Oreochromis niloticus: one gene and its partner. The protein of the gene in region 2 purifies or fractionates together with the protein of the main gene of each other region. This does not show direct contact. Links are inferred from orthologs where the notes say so. Each region holds a gene or a part of one and is shown on either strand. Other genes may lie near its edges.

Region 1 (8,005 bases), about 12 Mb from region 2:
CCGCATCTAAATTTTACTTTCTCTTTGACAGATCATTTACAAGTACTCGTTTCCCAAAGTTGCACTAAAGGTACTCCCACAGGAGTCTTCCTCGCTATATACCTCGAGGCAAGTGTGGTGGGAAGTTCTGTTGAGAAACTGCAGCAGGGGTCCTGATGATCTGAAAGTTCGGCATCAGGTGCACGTTGCTTGAGTGACCCTTAAACACCAAGAAAGCAGTACAGGTCTTTAGTAATCAGCAGGAAAAAGACAAACATTAAAAGCAAATGTAGAAAAGACTCACCTGCTGACCACTGATGGTTGCCACAGGGATAGACGGGGTGGTAGCGATGCTGCTCTCGATGGTGACCGTTATGTGACCAGGCACCTTGGGGGGTATGGGCATATGAGCCTGGTTGGAAGCTGGTGCTGGAGCAATAAGACGACTTGGCATCGGTGACTTCAAGACCGCCTGAAAAAAGACACAATCAAAAAAAAAAATTAACATCTGTTTGTTTTAACAAATAATACGAGCTAGATGATCAGATTCAGACAGCCCAGGTGAAAAGTTCAAGCTCAAGTGAAAAAAGAAATATCCTATGATGAGATGCCTGTCTACAGCATAATATTTTCCCCCACAGATCAGAGTTTTACTGAACCTTTTGGTACTTCAGAGCTAATTTGATCTTTTTTAATTTATTGTTGGGTAACTTGGTCTACAATAACATACTTTTAAAAAAGTAAGGAAAATTGGCATCTTATTATTTTCAGGAATTGCAAAAACTGAGACCGCGGGGAAAATGTTATGTTGAACAGTGGCTACACTCAGAAAACGATGCCAATATAAGTGAGTAAATTATGTTATTTTTACTTTGGAGATGGTTAAGTTTATAGAAACTCAAACAGAGACTTAAAGGTCACCTTCATCTGGCTTTCAGTAAGCACTGCAGGCTGGCCCTGTGGGAGCTGGACAGAGGGGGTAGGTAGGGTCGCAGGTGTGCCGGGCTGAATGGCCACGTTTTGGGTGGCAGCTGGAGGCTGGCCGAGCTGCGTCTGTACTTGTGGGTATGGTCTGACCACCATGGTCTCTTGCTTTTCATCTCTGAACGCCGAGGTTCCCCCGCCACCGGCAGGTGGATGATCATGCTGACCGTGGTCACCATCCCGACTGCTGTCTGCATCTCCACCACCTCCACCTAAGGAAAAACAACTTGATTAGACATCAACTACACACTTACATCTTCTCTGCCGTTTTTGTGTGATTAAATGTTACCTGAAGCGCTTGACGGTTGATTGACAGGCACCAGGTTTCCAGCCGCTGGGATCTGAGGTGCTCCTCCACCGGAAGCAGGCAGCCCGTGTCGGGGGAATTGCTGGGAGCTCATTTTAACTATTTATTATCTAAAACAGGAACATGCAACATTAACTCCAAAGCAGATGCACACATGATATGACAAAGTTAAAAGTTAAAAACACCACCGTAGGCATCATGAGAAACAGGGAGAAAAGGCTAAGGAATGCCAGATTTGCCAAATCACACAAGAAACTGACTGAAAATCTGTGACAACTGGTCTGATGGAGTTATTAATCAAAAAGTGAGATTTTTGGGGTCAAATTGTTGTCGATATAACGGGAGAAGGTGAGGAAAGAGGTTCAAAAGTGAGTTTCCACCGCCATCTGTAAAACACAATGGAGGCTCAGTCATGTTGAGGATGTTTTGAAAATTAATATAATTATGAATGCAAAACGTTAGGAATGCAAGCTCGTTAGAATTGCACAAACTCCGTTTTGGCCTTATGTACTCCATTTCCATGTATGTTTGCATGTTTCAAATAATTTCTGCACCCATTTCCTAATGTACTTTTTGCACAGTACAGTTCAGCTTCTAATAGGGTTTTTTCCAGACTGGCAAAAACTAAAGACAGCCGCTGTATGCCTACTACGATTTAAAAATGAAATATATTTATGGCACAAATATCTTAAATAACGGCATAACTGTTCATTATGGACGTGCTTTGCATAGTTATGGATACAGACTCTCTTCACTCTCACTGAAAATACTAAAACATCCAATTATTAAAGTGAATTATTGTAGCCACGTACAGACAACCTGAGACTGTAAGCCCTGAATACCACAGGGCTAGCTTAAGTATCCCGGGATGGCGTTAAATTCCCGGCCTGAATGTAGGGTTATTTTCCCCAGGTATAAATACAAGTGTGCCGTGAAATTTTAGCTCACCCTTTGGTCACAAAACATTTGAAAACGTCTGCTCTCGACGATCCGGTCCGAGGACCTCAACAACAACAAAAGCCCTGTAGATTAACCCTTCACATGCAGCGCGGGAACGTAAAACGGACAGACGGAGGGCAGAGGACGTGTCCATGAAATTAAGAGGTGTTTAAAATCACAGAAAAAGCTACATTTGAATGTCTGAAAGGGATCGAACAGCTTCAGCACCTTTGTTTGACATTATGTAGTCGGTATCGTATGACAGACAGCAAACTGAGTCGATGCGCACCAAATATGACGTTAACAAGCATGCACAGAAAAGGCCTTTCAGCTAGAATCACACGCGTTTTCAGCTCAGTCAGATACTATCCACCGTGGTGGCTGTTTTAGCCTCTGTAACCCTAAAACCGAAAAGCTGCCTCATTAGGCAGCTATCCCACCTAGCAGCATGCTAACACTGGAAGCGCTAGCCCTGCTAACCTGCTTTTCATGCCAAATCCTGAACTTTCTACAGACTACAGCGGCACGAACTTTCTACAGCTAAAAGGACAAAAAGGCTGTTGTGTATGCGCAGACTTTACCGTATCGATGAGTTACTGGGCAATGCTCGTTTTGTGGATTACAATTTTTCCATTCGTCTTTTCTTTTTTTCACTCACAAAATGCAAGCCGGAAGACCGCTGAGAAAGGACTGCACCTACTTTCTACATTCAACCAACCAGAGAAGGGACTGCTCGATCGCTGGCCAATAGAAATGTTTTTAGCGCCATAAAGTAGTACAACGGGCTGAGGGAGGTAGGCGGTTGTTAAGGGGGACCTGGGGGAGACGCTAAGACACTCTAGTCACGTGATCGACGGACGCAATCGAGCTCACTTTGGAGCCAAGTGGGAACCTCCGAAAAAAGGAAGCCAAGGCGGAAGCGCAGAAAACTGCAGTTCCTCTAAAGGCCACTTGATGCTGTCTATGCTTCAACAGCAATGAAATATCCGCACAGAAAGTAATTAATTCAAAGAAATGAGCGACCAGACACATAATTCAAGAATTAAATTACAAAAAACACCCCAATATATGTAAAGAAAAGGATTCCAGGCATCCCTCATAATGTACCAACTCTTGGTATATTCCAATAATCACTACTTGTTAAAATGTAATTAAATATCGTAAATCCTGTTAAACGTTAAGCTGTCTTTAACACGCAAATTTCCAGATTTACGGGAGAAATAAACTCTTTTAAAATGGTCTCCACTGTCTGATTTTTGTTTTTTAATAAACGGGAGATCAGTCTCCATTTGCAAATCAGATAAAACATATCCCCTTTAAAATACCCTAGGTTTTTTAATTATTATTATTTTTTTATGTTTTCATTTTCACTTAGATGCAAAACACACAAAGAAAGCTTCTAAATCTTCCCTTTCACTCATGTTGCTATCCTTTTGTCACCAATCACAAGGACAGGAACAAAACTTAAAGTAAAGCTTCAAAACATTAAAATCCAAGCCGTTAAAGACATCTTGTTCTCTGTCACTTTATGCTTACCCCAGTACTAAAAAGGCTCTGGCATGTAGTTCAGTCCCAGCACACCAGGCGTCAGTTTGAGAGGAGGAGCAACTGTAATACCTGCACATAAACACTAGAGAGCAGCAGCCAGTCATCAAAACATCTTTACATTCTTTAAAGATGAACTGATAATTATAATGCATTTAAATAACATATGTGAATCTGCATAATGAGTATTTTTACTTTAGGTCCTTTAAGTATATTTCAGTGATAACATTTTTTTGCATTAGTGGGTGGGGTTATGACTCATATTTAAAGCAGCTTTTAAATAAAAAATTATGCTCAAACACTTCTTCAGTCCCTTTTCATGTAAAACATCTGTACCAGCCCCCAAATCCAGATTTTTACCTAGCCACCTTTCCCCCATGTATATTTCTGATCATATATCTTTTGATTTCCTGTGGGCCATTTTTTTAAACATCCTGGAAGCTCCCCTGATATATGTCAAAGTTATTATTATTAACTACATGTAGAAGTACATGTAAAAATATAAATATTTTAGCTAACTGACATAAAAATAAGAACTAAGCTTAAGGGGAAAAATTAGAACAATATTTTCTGTGATTTTCTGCTTTGGTCAAAATTATTGCTTTAGTTTATCTTTGTTTACTGAGACTACAATTACAGTGAAACTACACATCTGGAAAAAAAATGTATACAGCAAAATAAAAACCATTGGAAAGATATAAAACTATGCACAACTCTGGGTCATATCCTTAGGCTATTCAGCTGCTGGATTACGAACTACACATCTCATACCATCAGCGTGATCAAATAGATAGGACAGGATTAGGACATATGAAACTTTATATAGTTTTTAAATGATTTGATTTATGATGCTGTTTTTGGGACTCTAGCTGATTTTTAGCTAACAGGTGGAAATGTCTGTTTAAAGGTCGGTTCAACAACTGTAGGATGAATTTGGCACAGATATTTCTGTTGCCCAGCGACTTTGCTGATGCCATGCCTTTTTCTTTTGCCCTGTTTTGGAAATGTGCTGCCCTCCATTAGCACAATCCAAAATTGCTCTTTTATTGTAAGTAAATATGTAAGTAAATATGGGCTGCTGACAGAGACTTTTTAGTTATTGCACTTATATATGCACTTAATTATATGCACTATTTTTCAAGGCTAAAAAACTATCAATTTTATGGCACCTTTTATGTTTTTTTCATGTTTTCTGCCATTTATATACTTTTATAATCTAGGATATTAATATTGAATTTCGCTGAAGTTTCATAAGATTATATACTGGTGCCTGACTGGGATCATACAAAAGAGTTGAAAGAGATGAAGGACATAGTACTTAACAACAACAGTCAAGACAACAGAAATACTGAAGCAAGCAGTCACAGGGGGGAAAAACTCTTTCAAAGTAAAACAGGAAATAGACACTGCTAAATATGGAACAGGAAAACTCCTAGTAAACACAAAACAGGGGAACACAGGGAGGTAAGAGTAATAATAAAACCAATACTGGAACCCAAAACTAAACAAAAATCAAACTCATAAACTTCACACGTCAATGATTAAACCAGGACTCCAAACTTCAAACATATAACCAGCTCCAGGAACAAAGACAATAGACGGTTGTATAAAAATGACTGAACATAATAATTGACATTGGAATATTTTATGATCTCTATCATATACAAAGTAAAGGGTATTGGTACGATAAACTAAAACAGAACCTTTTAAAAGAGTATATCTGAATATAAAATATAACAGTTATTTAAGTCACTACAATATTTTTTCACTTAAGGGTTAAAACAGTGTCAAGTCCTTTATCTGCATTAACATGAGTGAAAATTCACAAACGATCTTTCATCAGTGATCAGCTCTCTCCACATAGTCGTCATTTATATCCACCTGGATCATAAAGGGTTATTCAACCACTGCTGCATGCTGAGGCATGCCCTGGAATTCCCCAGCTGTGCCCATTCAGTTACTCACATACACCTGCCGGTATGTTTCTTTAAGTTGTGAAACGCTCGTGAATTCTTTGGATATTATTTGTGACTGGTTTTATTTGGTACTATTAAATGAGTCCAAGGAAGTAAGCAGTAAGTTAGTAAGATCAGTGACTAAAATTCAAGGAAATGTTAACATGAGTACAAGCAAAAGAAAGAAACACTGTTTTTCTGTGACATACCAGTTTGACTCTTACTCATTTGTCGGCATTGTTAATTACTCATAACCATTTCAGACTTCAGTTAAGTGACTTTTCACAGCTGTACAATGTCTGATCTTAACGCTGACTCATTTTTGTTTTTGGTTTTTTTGGTTTTTCTCTGGCCTGGAGGTTGTCCTCTGCAGCATGTCTCTCCGTGTTGCTACAGACACAGATTGTTTTGACTCATCTAATAATTCCTTCCCTACAGTGAATCGGCCTTTCTGGGTTGTGCAGCTCAGTTGATTCACTGGAAACCACTAGCAGACCCAGACAGCAACCAGCCAAACCGCCAAAGAGAGGTTCTCCGTGGTTAATGAAGTATACTCTCCCCAAGAACCCCTTTCAAACATGGCAGCTTCATTACCTCACAACTCAATTAATTAAACAAGTCATTATGTCTGAACTCAATCAAACACTGAGGCACCACAGAGAGCTCACAAAGCTCCAGATTCTTTCAGCTCCAATAAAGTGATCAGTTTGGCTGTTCTCCCAGGTGTTACAGTAAAGTTTCATGTCCAGGCATCCATGAAAAAAAAGCTTTTATAGGGTTTAGCAGAAAGTTACTGACATTAGCCCAGATGTAGATATATAATGATGTGCTAACTGGTGGCTAGCTAAAGAGATATAGTTAGGCTAATATAAACACATGGCCAGAGAGCAGATGGAGGATCGTGTTCAGACGTTCATGTTGAGGGTCCACGATGGGCAGAGTGGAGTTGAGGTTAGAACTGGGTTCAAAGCCACCATCTGGCCAGGGAGTTTGCACGTTCTCCCGTGTCTGCATGGGTTCTCTACAGGTACTCCAGCTTCCTCCCACTATCCAAGGATATACATAGGTTGATTGGAGATTATAAATTGAATAATGGCACGAATGTGAGTGTGAATGGTTGTCTGTCTCTCTATGTTGGTCCTACTATCGACTGGTGACCTGTCTAGGGTGTGCCCCCGTCTTGCTCTAGGCCCCAGCCCATTGGGTAAGAAGAAAATAGATGGATGGAGCTTAAAGACATGCTGTACATGAACAGCGCTGATAAAACGCTGCAGAGGCTGATAGTGGTGACTTGGACTTTTGTCTTAAAAAAACCCAAGACAAAGCACGTTAGCAAGATAAAAAGGCATCATCCTCATGAGAACGTGACAGAGAGTGACGTGTCACCCAAACAATGCTCAGCTGAAATCGACAGAGCTTTGCTGTGACGTTGGGTTGAAGTAGGAGAGCAGAATAAGCTCCTTTTCTCCCCTAAGATGTCAGCTCCTCCCTTCTGGATGCATCTTCTGCTGGAGTTCTTCGTCTCCACCATCACCAAGTGGTGCTCATTTGATCTAATGTTGTTGAGTCTTTACCGTACTACACAGAGGTGACTGTTATTGTACACTGACTTTTTATAAATAAAGCTTAATTGAATAAAGTCGAGCAGTTCAGCAAATAATGTTGCAGTGGACTCAGGCCGAAAAATTTGCTGCCAGTGGCCTCCTCTGAGAGATTTGCATCGTCTCTCTAACATCCCTAAAATTAGAAGTCAGTGCCCTGATTTATGTGGAAACGTTGAGGGGGCGGGGGCACATTCCATGGCTGCTGTAGGCAGGAAGTTTTGGAATCTCCATGGAAATCAAGGCAAAACACAGAGCCCCACAGTTATTTTTCCAAATATTTCACACATGCCTTTAGTACAAAATGTGCTCAAAAGGAAAGGAGGACAGATGATTTGTTACCAACTGTCCCCTTCATTCCTCACACACACTCCGATTGTATCTCACATTGCTTCAAATGGTGCTTGACTTTAACATTTTTCTGACTGTAGATGAAGCATGAATTATGTGGAGTGCATTTCACACGAGTCTGCACTTTCATACCATGAAAAACAAACAAAGTCAAAATTCAGAACATTGACATCTGTTCTTGATCCACTCTGATTGAATCACTCGCACAGTTGGCAAGAGTCACAGTGGCGATAAATGGAGCAGACCTGACAACAGCCTTTGTAAGTTATGCTCTGGTCCGCATGTATGTGGAATGCATACATGAAGGTTTAACCTTTCTTCATGCTGGCTGGATGAGGACAACT
Region 2 (7,919 bases):
CTAAGATTGCCCAAATCCCATTATCTTGCCATCCACTACCTAAGCACGATCCATCTCTCAGAACAAAACATCACTGGAAGTTAGTTCCCAGCTTTTACTTTAAAATAATAAAATTGTACACAGAAACTGAAAGAGCTTAAACATATAAAAGTTTAACTCAATCTGACACGGACCAAATAGGTTTTGAATGCCACCGAGTGAAATCATTACAAATTCCTCAGTGTAGTTATTTTTGTATCAGACCGTAAAATTCTTTTAAAGTCTAACATAGATTCCTAATCTCTGAAATTCTTTTTATATACAACTTGTATATATTTGGCTCTTTGTGATGGGATTTAAGTGCTTGTTTCAGCCAAACATGCACAGGAAGAAGCAGAACTCCAGCTGAAATTTTGTTCAACTACCAGACAGACAAATCTGCTGTCACATTTTGTAGTGAAACCTTCGTGAGGGCTTTTTCAGGCAGATCATTCAGCTGAAGTTCAGGGCAGTAGAAGCACACCTGTTTCCTCCTAAGATGTTCTGTGGTCTTAAACATATAATGCCGTCAGCATACCCTGCTGTACATTGTATTCAGATATCAGTAAAGCAGAAAGCATGTTTTTCTTTAAAAAGAGTATCTTACCTGTGCAGAGAAAGGAGACTGAAGGAAAGCCATCCCATTCTTAGGGACCTCTATCCGATACCCCGGTGGCAAGAAGGCATTGAAGCCCAAGACGAGGTCTGGGTGTCCATGAAACAGTTGTGATACACGGTTTATCACTCCCGGTGTGTCGATGCTATTTCAGAAGACATACGGATACTTTAGAAGTTTGGTTGAGAAACACTGATTAAGTACTTCTCTCAAACACCACAAAGCACAAACAGAAAACAAGTTATTAATAAGCGCTATACAAGTTAGCTTTAAAGAAAAAGAAGCAAAGAGGAAATGCTTTTAGTCCTCGTTTAATTTCAAGATAATAATACCTGTCGCATAATTATAGTAAGAAGCTATGTGCAGTATCATATGCACTGATAAACTCCAGATTGTGAAACAGAACTAGTCAAGGATTAAACTGCACAACGTAATGAAACTCCATACACAAGCAGCACAATCACCATCTAAAGAATATGTATGGGAATGTATGTCATTAAGAATGCATTACTAGAACTCCTATTACTTCTGGTTTTCACCTTAGCAGAGGTACAGCTGCCAGTTGGTCACAAGATTATACAAAAACCATTAAGCTGAATTTCATAACACTTGGTGGCGTATGGGGAAATGAAGATCCCACTGTATTTTAAAGTGGATCTGGACCACCTCCCTTAAAAACTGCACAACAGAAATCAGTGTGTTCCCTGTGTTCCCTGTGTGCCCCTGTATAGTAGTTACTTGTGGTTTGTTTGCATAAATGCCCAATGATACCTCTGCGACTTGAACTCCTTCATGATGTCGAGAAACTTGTTATATATCCCAGGGTCATTCGCAAAACGAATTTTGACTTGGTCCAGATATGACAAGGCATCTTCAACCTAAACATGGAGAAGAAGAAGGAAAAATCAGTACAGAGCAAAGCACAGACAGCCTCAGCTGGATGTATGGAGCAGCATTTTCCCCAGCATCCAGTCATGGTGCTCACGGTAGATAATTTTACAGCTACAAAGCTTGTTTACAGATTTCAAATGCTACGTTTTGCATTTATTAATAAATGCATTTATTTGCGATTTGTACTATGAAATTACAGGTAGCCCCATCGTACAGATTTGTCTCAGTGCTGCATACGTGAAGTTACGTGAATGCTGACCGATTTCTTCACTATCAGCCAAAGTGCAACATCAACAAATCCTCTGGTTAGCAGTACAAGCTGTACAACTAACGCTAAAATAAATAAATAACTGGGCATACACAAGAGACACCAGGCAGCTTTTGTTCATTACTCCACTGCTTTCTTTCGCTACCACAGCTAGGCTAGTTTAGGTTGCGCTAAAGGGGGAAAAAATGTCTTCACACAAGCCATTGTCACAAATAGTCCACATCTTAAAGAGGGTTGTTGTAGCTAACGTTTAGCCAGTCGACTGACGATAATAACTCCACCAACACTTGCAACACCTACCCGCATACAAATTTATACAATATGTTTAGTCACAGCTGGTCCCCGGCCAACAGTGTCGCGTTGGCAAAAACAGTACGACATATTAAAACACTACTATAACAAAGAAACGTGTACTGAAGCTGCTAATGAAGTGAAATAGCCGTTCTTGGCTAGCCTGGCTGACGTCCTCCACTTTGTTCGGGGTGGCTGAAAAAACGAACAAGGAGGAACTTCCCACAAACGAGGTCTGAGTTAACGTTTGCTCACAGAAGCACTTATTGATATGGCAAATGAGAAAGTACCACTAACTGTGCCACTCCACTGTCACTCGCACATACACTAAACGAAACACAGCTTCTAAATCCAACATTAAATGTCAACGTTAGGCTGTTTAGCAATGAATTACTTTTAATAGGCCAGCGAGCTAACTAACGTTAGCCAGCCGTTCCTTTCACTACTCTCGACGACAGTAGAGAGAAAGAGAAAAAAAAAGCCTCAAATCCAATGCAATGATCCGACGAACAAAATGGTTCTGACTCTCAGCCACTTTTCCCTTGTCATGTCCGTTGTCTCCTTACCTTCAGCTTCTGGAAGTGCTGCTGCTGCACTTGCTTTTGTGTTATAACGTAAGGCTTGTCTTGAATTTGGTTTATTTGCTTCGCGGTGCTGTGCGCCTGAATCTTCGCCATTATCCCGGCGACAGGAGGCTCGAGAGCCGCTACCACAACTTGAGGGAAGCTTCGGCGTTACCTCCAGTTGTTGGCTAGCCGACAAACCTTGCTCTCGGTCGGGAAGCCAGCCTGCCAGCAAGCAACCCTACTCTGCCTAGCTGGACAGTCTAGGTACAGAGGCAAAAAAAAAAAAAAAAAAAAAAGGACGGGAAATCCAGCAGAATGAAGGTTGATGACAGACAACCTGCTACTCTCGGTGACTTTGATGAAACATCACCATCGAATTAAACGAGCCCAGGCGAGAAGTATCGGAAAATAAGCCCAGAGACAATGGTTACCGTTTTTCGTATTTAAAAAAAACTAAAGCCTGTCTCTTTAAATTCGGCGGCAGCGCTCTGTCTTGGCGTCCGGAAGCCAGAGTAGGAGTGAAAAAAAAAATTAAAAAAATTAAAAAAAGTGAAAAATTGAACTGCGCAGTCGCAGCGATGGGAGGAGCTGAGTTCACAAGAATCAGATTGCTCCACTCCCCCTTCACTGCTACAAAGGAGCAGCGCTACTCCATGCAAAGGATGGTTGCACACTCCACAACGGTGCCCACGAATACGAGCTCGACGGTGGACCGAATGCCGACTGTGAGAAAGATCGATACAGGGCTATTGATAGACACCTACGGCTCATTCAGAGGGCATTCACAATGGATTCAGCTTGGTTTTCCAACGCAGGAGCCAGAGGCAGTTTTAAACAACTTCAATGGATATGAGGACGCAAAGAAGAAAGGAACAAATATTTCGCTTCAAAAGGGTTTATTAGTGACTGATTTACACATGGTAAGACATTAGGAGTAATGATGACAAATGAGAGAAAAAACAAACAAACACCATTTGTGCATTAAATATCTACAACACAGTGTTCATTCTACCACTGAAAGGTGCTGAAAGGAATCCATCATAGTATTCAACTATGGGGACTTTGCTGCTAGTTTCCACCTTTGTAACCACTGCTGAAAAGTCAGTCCTCCTTTACTGACCTCAGGAAGAACATGCTGGGCTGGCCTTTCCCACCTACAACACACAAAACAGGGAAGTTAACCAGAGAATGAGACGCTGGACTACTGAGCAAGGGCATGAATGGAAAATAATTAGAGCCAATAAATTCAGTTAGATATTGGCCTCAGATAGATGTACTGGCATGAATGTTTTGGCAGGGTTAAATTCAAGCCATGAAGTCATTTACAAATGGTGTAATCACCTGTGTGTAGATAGGCAAGTTAACAGTAAGGTTTAAGACTTAGTTTACTACCAATGAATTAAGAAAGCTGGTCTTTTTTCTTTTCTTTTTTTTTAAATAGATTGAGCTGCAAAACTATAATTAGATGAATTAAACCACTATCAGCCAGTTTCTGTACCTGGATTAAGCTTCTACATTTTCTACAAAAAAATCTAAAATCTAGAAGATCACCAGTAAAAAAAGGTTTTAGTCCAAGACTGTATATTCACTCTGGAATAATGAGATGTCAGTCAGTCAGTAATAATCAGAATCACTGACCAGGTGTAATTTATCCATCACATTATGGTAACCAGTTAAAAATGGCAAGTACATTTATCTCTTCATAATGGACTCCAGCAACAAAAGCCTCGTCAGACAATCAATGAAAGATCATTAAAACTGCCTAAATCACTTACATTTGGAAAGAAAAAACACATACAAAAGTGTGCACGAATAATCTTAGTATTGTCTAAAGGTTAAACCAGGAAGTAGTTCTAATGAGTGTTTAAAACATGCTTTTTTAGTGATAACTCATCCATTCACTTGCAGATGTTGTTCAGGTAACTGTGTCACTCTAGGTAATTCCCAGATCTCAATTTGTAAAAATACACCCAGATTAGAAAGGAGAAATCTCGATTAAGCAGCAATTAAAATAATAATAATAACAGGTCATCGATTTAAGAACTGTGTCTCACCAATAAGAGATGGCAGTTTTGACTTGGTCCCCATAAGAAAGGCCCTGTGCACAGCGGTGAGTGAGCCCTCTGACTCTTGGTACCAAAGACTTGAGAAGCTTTTGGTCCTCCTCCATGACTCTGGACAGGAGAGCTAAGAGTGCAGACAGACAGCAGTATGTTACTAAAAATCCACCGAGCATTTTATTTTTTGTGGAAATTTCCTAACATATTAAGTACGTGTACACCAAACACTGCCCTCATTTGTGTTTAAAGCAAACGCTTCTCTCTTGATAAGTTCTCCTGGTTACCTTTTTGATCAGATGCCTCCAGCTGATCCGCTTCCTTCTTTATCTTCTGCAGAGTGGCAGAGTGAAGCTGAAGTAACTGACGGAGAAAACGCAGCTCAAGCTGTTGTGAGCGAGATCGGGAACACAACTCCTCCGGAGCCTGAAGTTGGGTGTGAAAGTCAGAGAAAGTCAAAAAAGTTACTAGTATGCAATATATGAGGAAAAATAAAAAAGTGAAAAAGGACACCTCCCAGCAGCTTTGGTATATGTAACTCTATTTTCCTTCTGCTCAGTGAAACTGGCTTTCAAAGATGCAATTTTTGTCATCTCTGGTTGTGAGGGGTTCAGCATCGATCAATGACAGTCCGTTACAATCACTTAGGGCACATTTAAGAGTTGGCTGCAAACACTGATTTTGTAGAAAATCATTTGAGAAAGAGCCACAGGAAAACACAAGTGATGTTAGGATAGTGAGACGGTCACAAAGTCCCTTTAGAAGATTTCTTTGGAGGCCATTACCCAGGCAGCATGACTGAATAAACTGTTTTAGTGACTGAAATTACAAGTTGAATATTTTAAAATAATACAACACAAAAATCATGATGTCACCAGTTCAGAACAATGCTCCACTGACTGACATCTACTTTTACTGAAGCAAATGACTCAGTCACACTAAAGTAAGATCATCATAGTAACCTCCTTTCAGCAAAGGAAGGAAGGAAGAATGAAGTGGTTGCCCGGTGACTGCATTTAATTTTTTTTAGCGTTAAGCAACCGACTCCAGCTGGACGCCCTGAGTTTGAGCATGCAACACTCTCAAACTCTGGCGACCACCTTCAATCACAAGGCGACTGCAAAGGTTGTCTGCAAATAATCAGTCTAATTTACAAACACAGACAGTCTGCCTGAATGATGCAATCATTCGGAGTCAGCTGAAGAGAAGAGCTCGTCTGCAGAGCGTTCATTTGTAAGAGAAGACTCTAACTGCCTGTCGATTTGCAATAAACTGCTGACCTGCAGTAACTACGTCCCCATTTGTGAAAGAATTTGTTTTAAACCTATGAGGTTCTGGCTGGGCTCTTAATGCAAGTAATTAAATGAATTTCTGTGGTATTTAGATGGTAAGGGAGGGACACAGATTTGCAATTTTCGCTAATTAATCACCATATCATTATAAACAGATTGCAACCGTAGCAAAACATGACTGTGAGAGTGAGCAGAATCAAAGAGAAAACAGTAAAACTGCAACACTTTACACACTATATGCCAAAAATCACCTTGTACAGAGGGAATGCCAGACTCTGACACAAGCTGCTGAAGGTCGGGGACTGCAAGCGATGGATGGACAACCATGATGCAGGAATTCGTTGCATACTAAACAAAACAAAATGGAATTATATTTCTGGTCAGTGAATGTCACCCCTGGACAAGGACAACAATTAAATATGTTTTTGTTTTGATTCACTGCAGCTGGGGCCACAGATGTACCACCAATGAGGCAAATATAGGGATACCAAGCAACATGCTCATACCCTTCGATAGTTCTGCGGTCCAGTGAAAGAAGTGAAACTGCTCCCATCTGTCTGGCCTCCTTAGACACAGCGTTCCTTAGACTGTTGGCTGCAGCGGTCACATCTTCAAATTGTGGCATTAGTTTTGCCTGGATGAATTCCTCTAACTGAGACAAAACGCAAAGATTAAAATCCTCAGAGTGCTACAAAAAAACATAAGAATTAAATTTTAGTCACTCTCGTTTTTCACCCCAGACTGAAGCCTCTCATCAAACATATTTCACTGTCATTGATCCTGACCTCTCTGTGAAGATGAATCAGCTGCGTCTTTGCTGTCGAGTTCCCCTTAATCAGACCTCTGATCTGCTCTTGTCTGAGAAGCTGTAAAGACAAGAAAGCAGAACATGATTATTTTTATGATGTAACAAATGCTGACGAAAAGTCAGTCTTCTCACACCTAGCAAACATAAGACATCTAGACCAAAGATCTACAGTATATAATACATGTAGAAAATATTTCATCCAAAAATACTGTCTGTCAACTCTCACCACTAGTTGTCTGAAGTCCAGTATGCTCTGCCACTGGCTGCGAAGGCTTCTTAGCGCCTCCTGTCGACTTTGGGCATGTTGGTCAAGTTGGATGCAGCGGTCTCTGATATAATCCCTGGCAGCTGCCTGCATCACACACTGTAGTTCCACCTCAAGAGCTGATCTAAGAGTTCAGAGCGCAAGGAAAATAAAAAGCACAAGTAGAAGACAAGACAAAATTATTGCCTCTAAAGATATTACCACTAATTAAAATGAACTCACATAGCTGTTTTCAAACAGGATGCAAATACAAAGTTTAAAACTGAGTTGACAACAGAAAAATTGTATCGTTCAGATAAAAACAACAATAACAGTGGCTGTTTGTTGGACCTTTTTTTCCCCCCTCACAGAAACCCAACTCCCAAGTTGCAGTACTGCAAAAAAAAAAATAACAAAATGCATGGCAAAGGCAGAGATTGAATTGGAATGAACTTACAGTGCCAAGGAATCATCCTGGAGCTCATCTCTAATACTGGACACCTCGAGCTCAGCGTCCTTCTTACGGGTTTGCAGCTGGTTTTTGAGCTGCTGGACTCTGGAGCGAGTCTGGGCCAGTTCCACCAAGCTCTGCTCCACTTCTTCCCACGCAGCCTGCAGCAACAATCACATGCGGGTCCATGCATAAAAAGTTACCAATCGCAGATTCCAGGAAAAAGAAAGAGATGATCATGGTTTGATCACGATTTTATGTATCAGGACATAATGTGTGAAAAATAAGTCCACCCTTACTGCTTCTGCATATTTCATTAACTGATCATCAGCAAATGTGAGCACCACTATAGAAGCAGAACTTTTGGCACTTTGCGGTTCAAATATGTGCCACCACTGTTGCTACCCATGAGGGTTT

What was found.
Region 1: the proteins of sin3b (region 2) and sap130a purify together in Homo sapiens (affinity purification with mass spectrometry; 3 studies listed by BioGRID and IntAct, with this or other methods). This does not show direct contact. The link is inferred for Oreochromis niloticus from reciprocal best matches to the Homo sapiens genes SIN3B and SAP130.

The regions. Positions count from the first base shown.
Region 1 is NC_031986.2:32,733,460-32,741,464, reverse strand, and holds the start of sap130a (histone deacetylase complex subunit SAP130a), read right to left. Parts: upstream 3,029-8,005; 5' UTR 2,791-3,028; intron 2,290-2,790; exon of another isoform or gene 2,219-2,289; intron 1,381-2,218; 5' UTR 1,365-1,380; coding exon 1,253-1,364; intron 1,176-1,252; coding exon 901-1,175; intron 452-900; coding exon 284-451; intron 200-283; coding exon 103-199; intron 1-102. UniProt on the Homo sapiens protein: Acts as a transcriptional repressor. May function in the assembly and/or enzymatic activity of the mSin3A corepressor complex or in mediating interactions between the complex and other regulatory complexes.
Region 2 is NC_031986.2:44,244,153-44,252,071, forward strand, and holds the start of sin3b (paired amphipathic helix protein Sin3b), read right to left. Parts: upstream 3,050-7,919; 5' UTR 2,762-3,049; coding exon 2,651-2,761; intron 2,416-2,650; exon of another isoform or gene 2,100-2,415; coding exon of another isoform or gene 2,094-2,099; intron 1,513-2,093; coding exon 1,406-1,512; intron 780-1,405; coding exon 626-779; intron 1-625. Other genes in the region: haus5 (HAUS augmin-like complex subunit 5), read right to left, coding at 3,702-3,804, 4,705-4,837, 4,995-5,133, 6,251-6,347, 6,506-6,651, 6,785-6,865, 7,034-7,196, 7,509-7,663.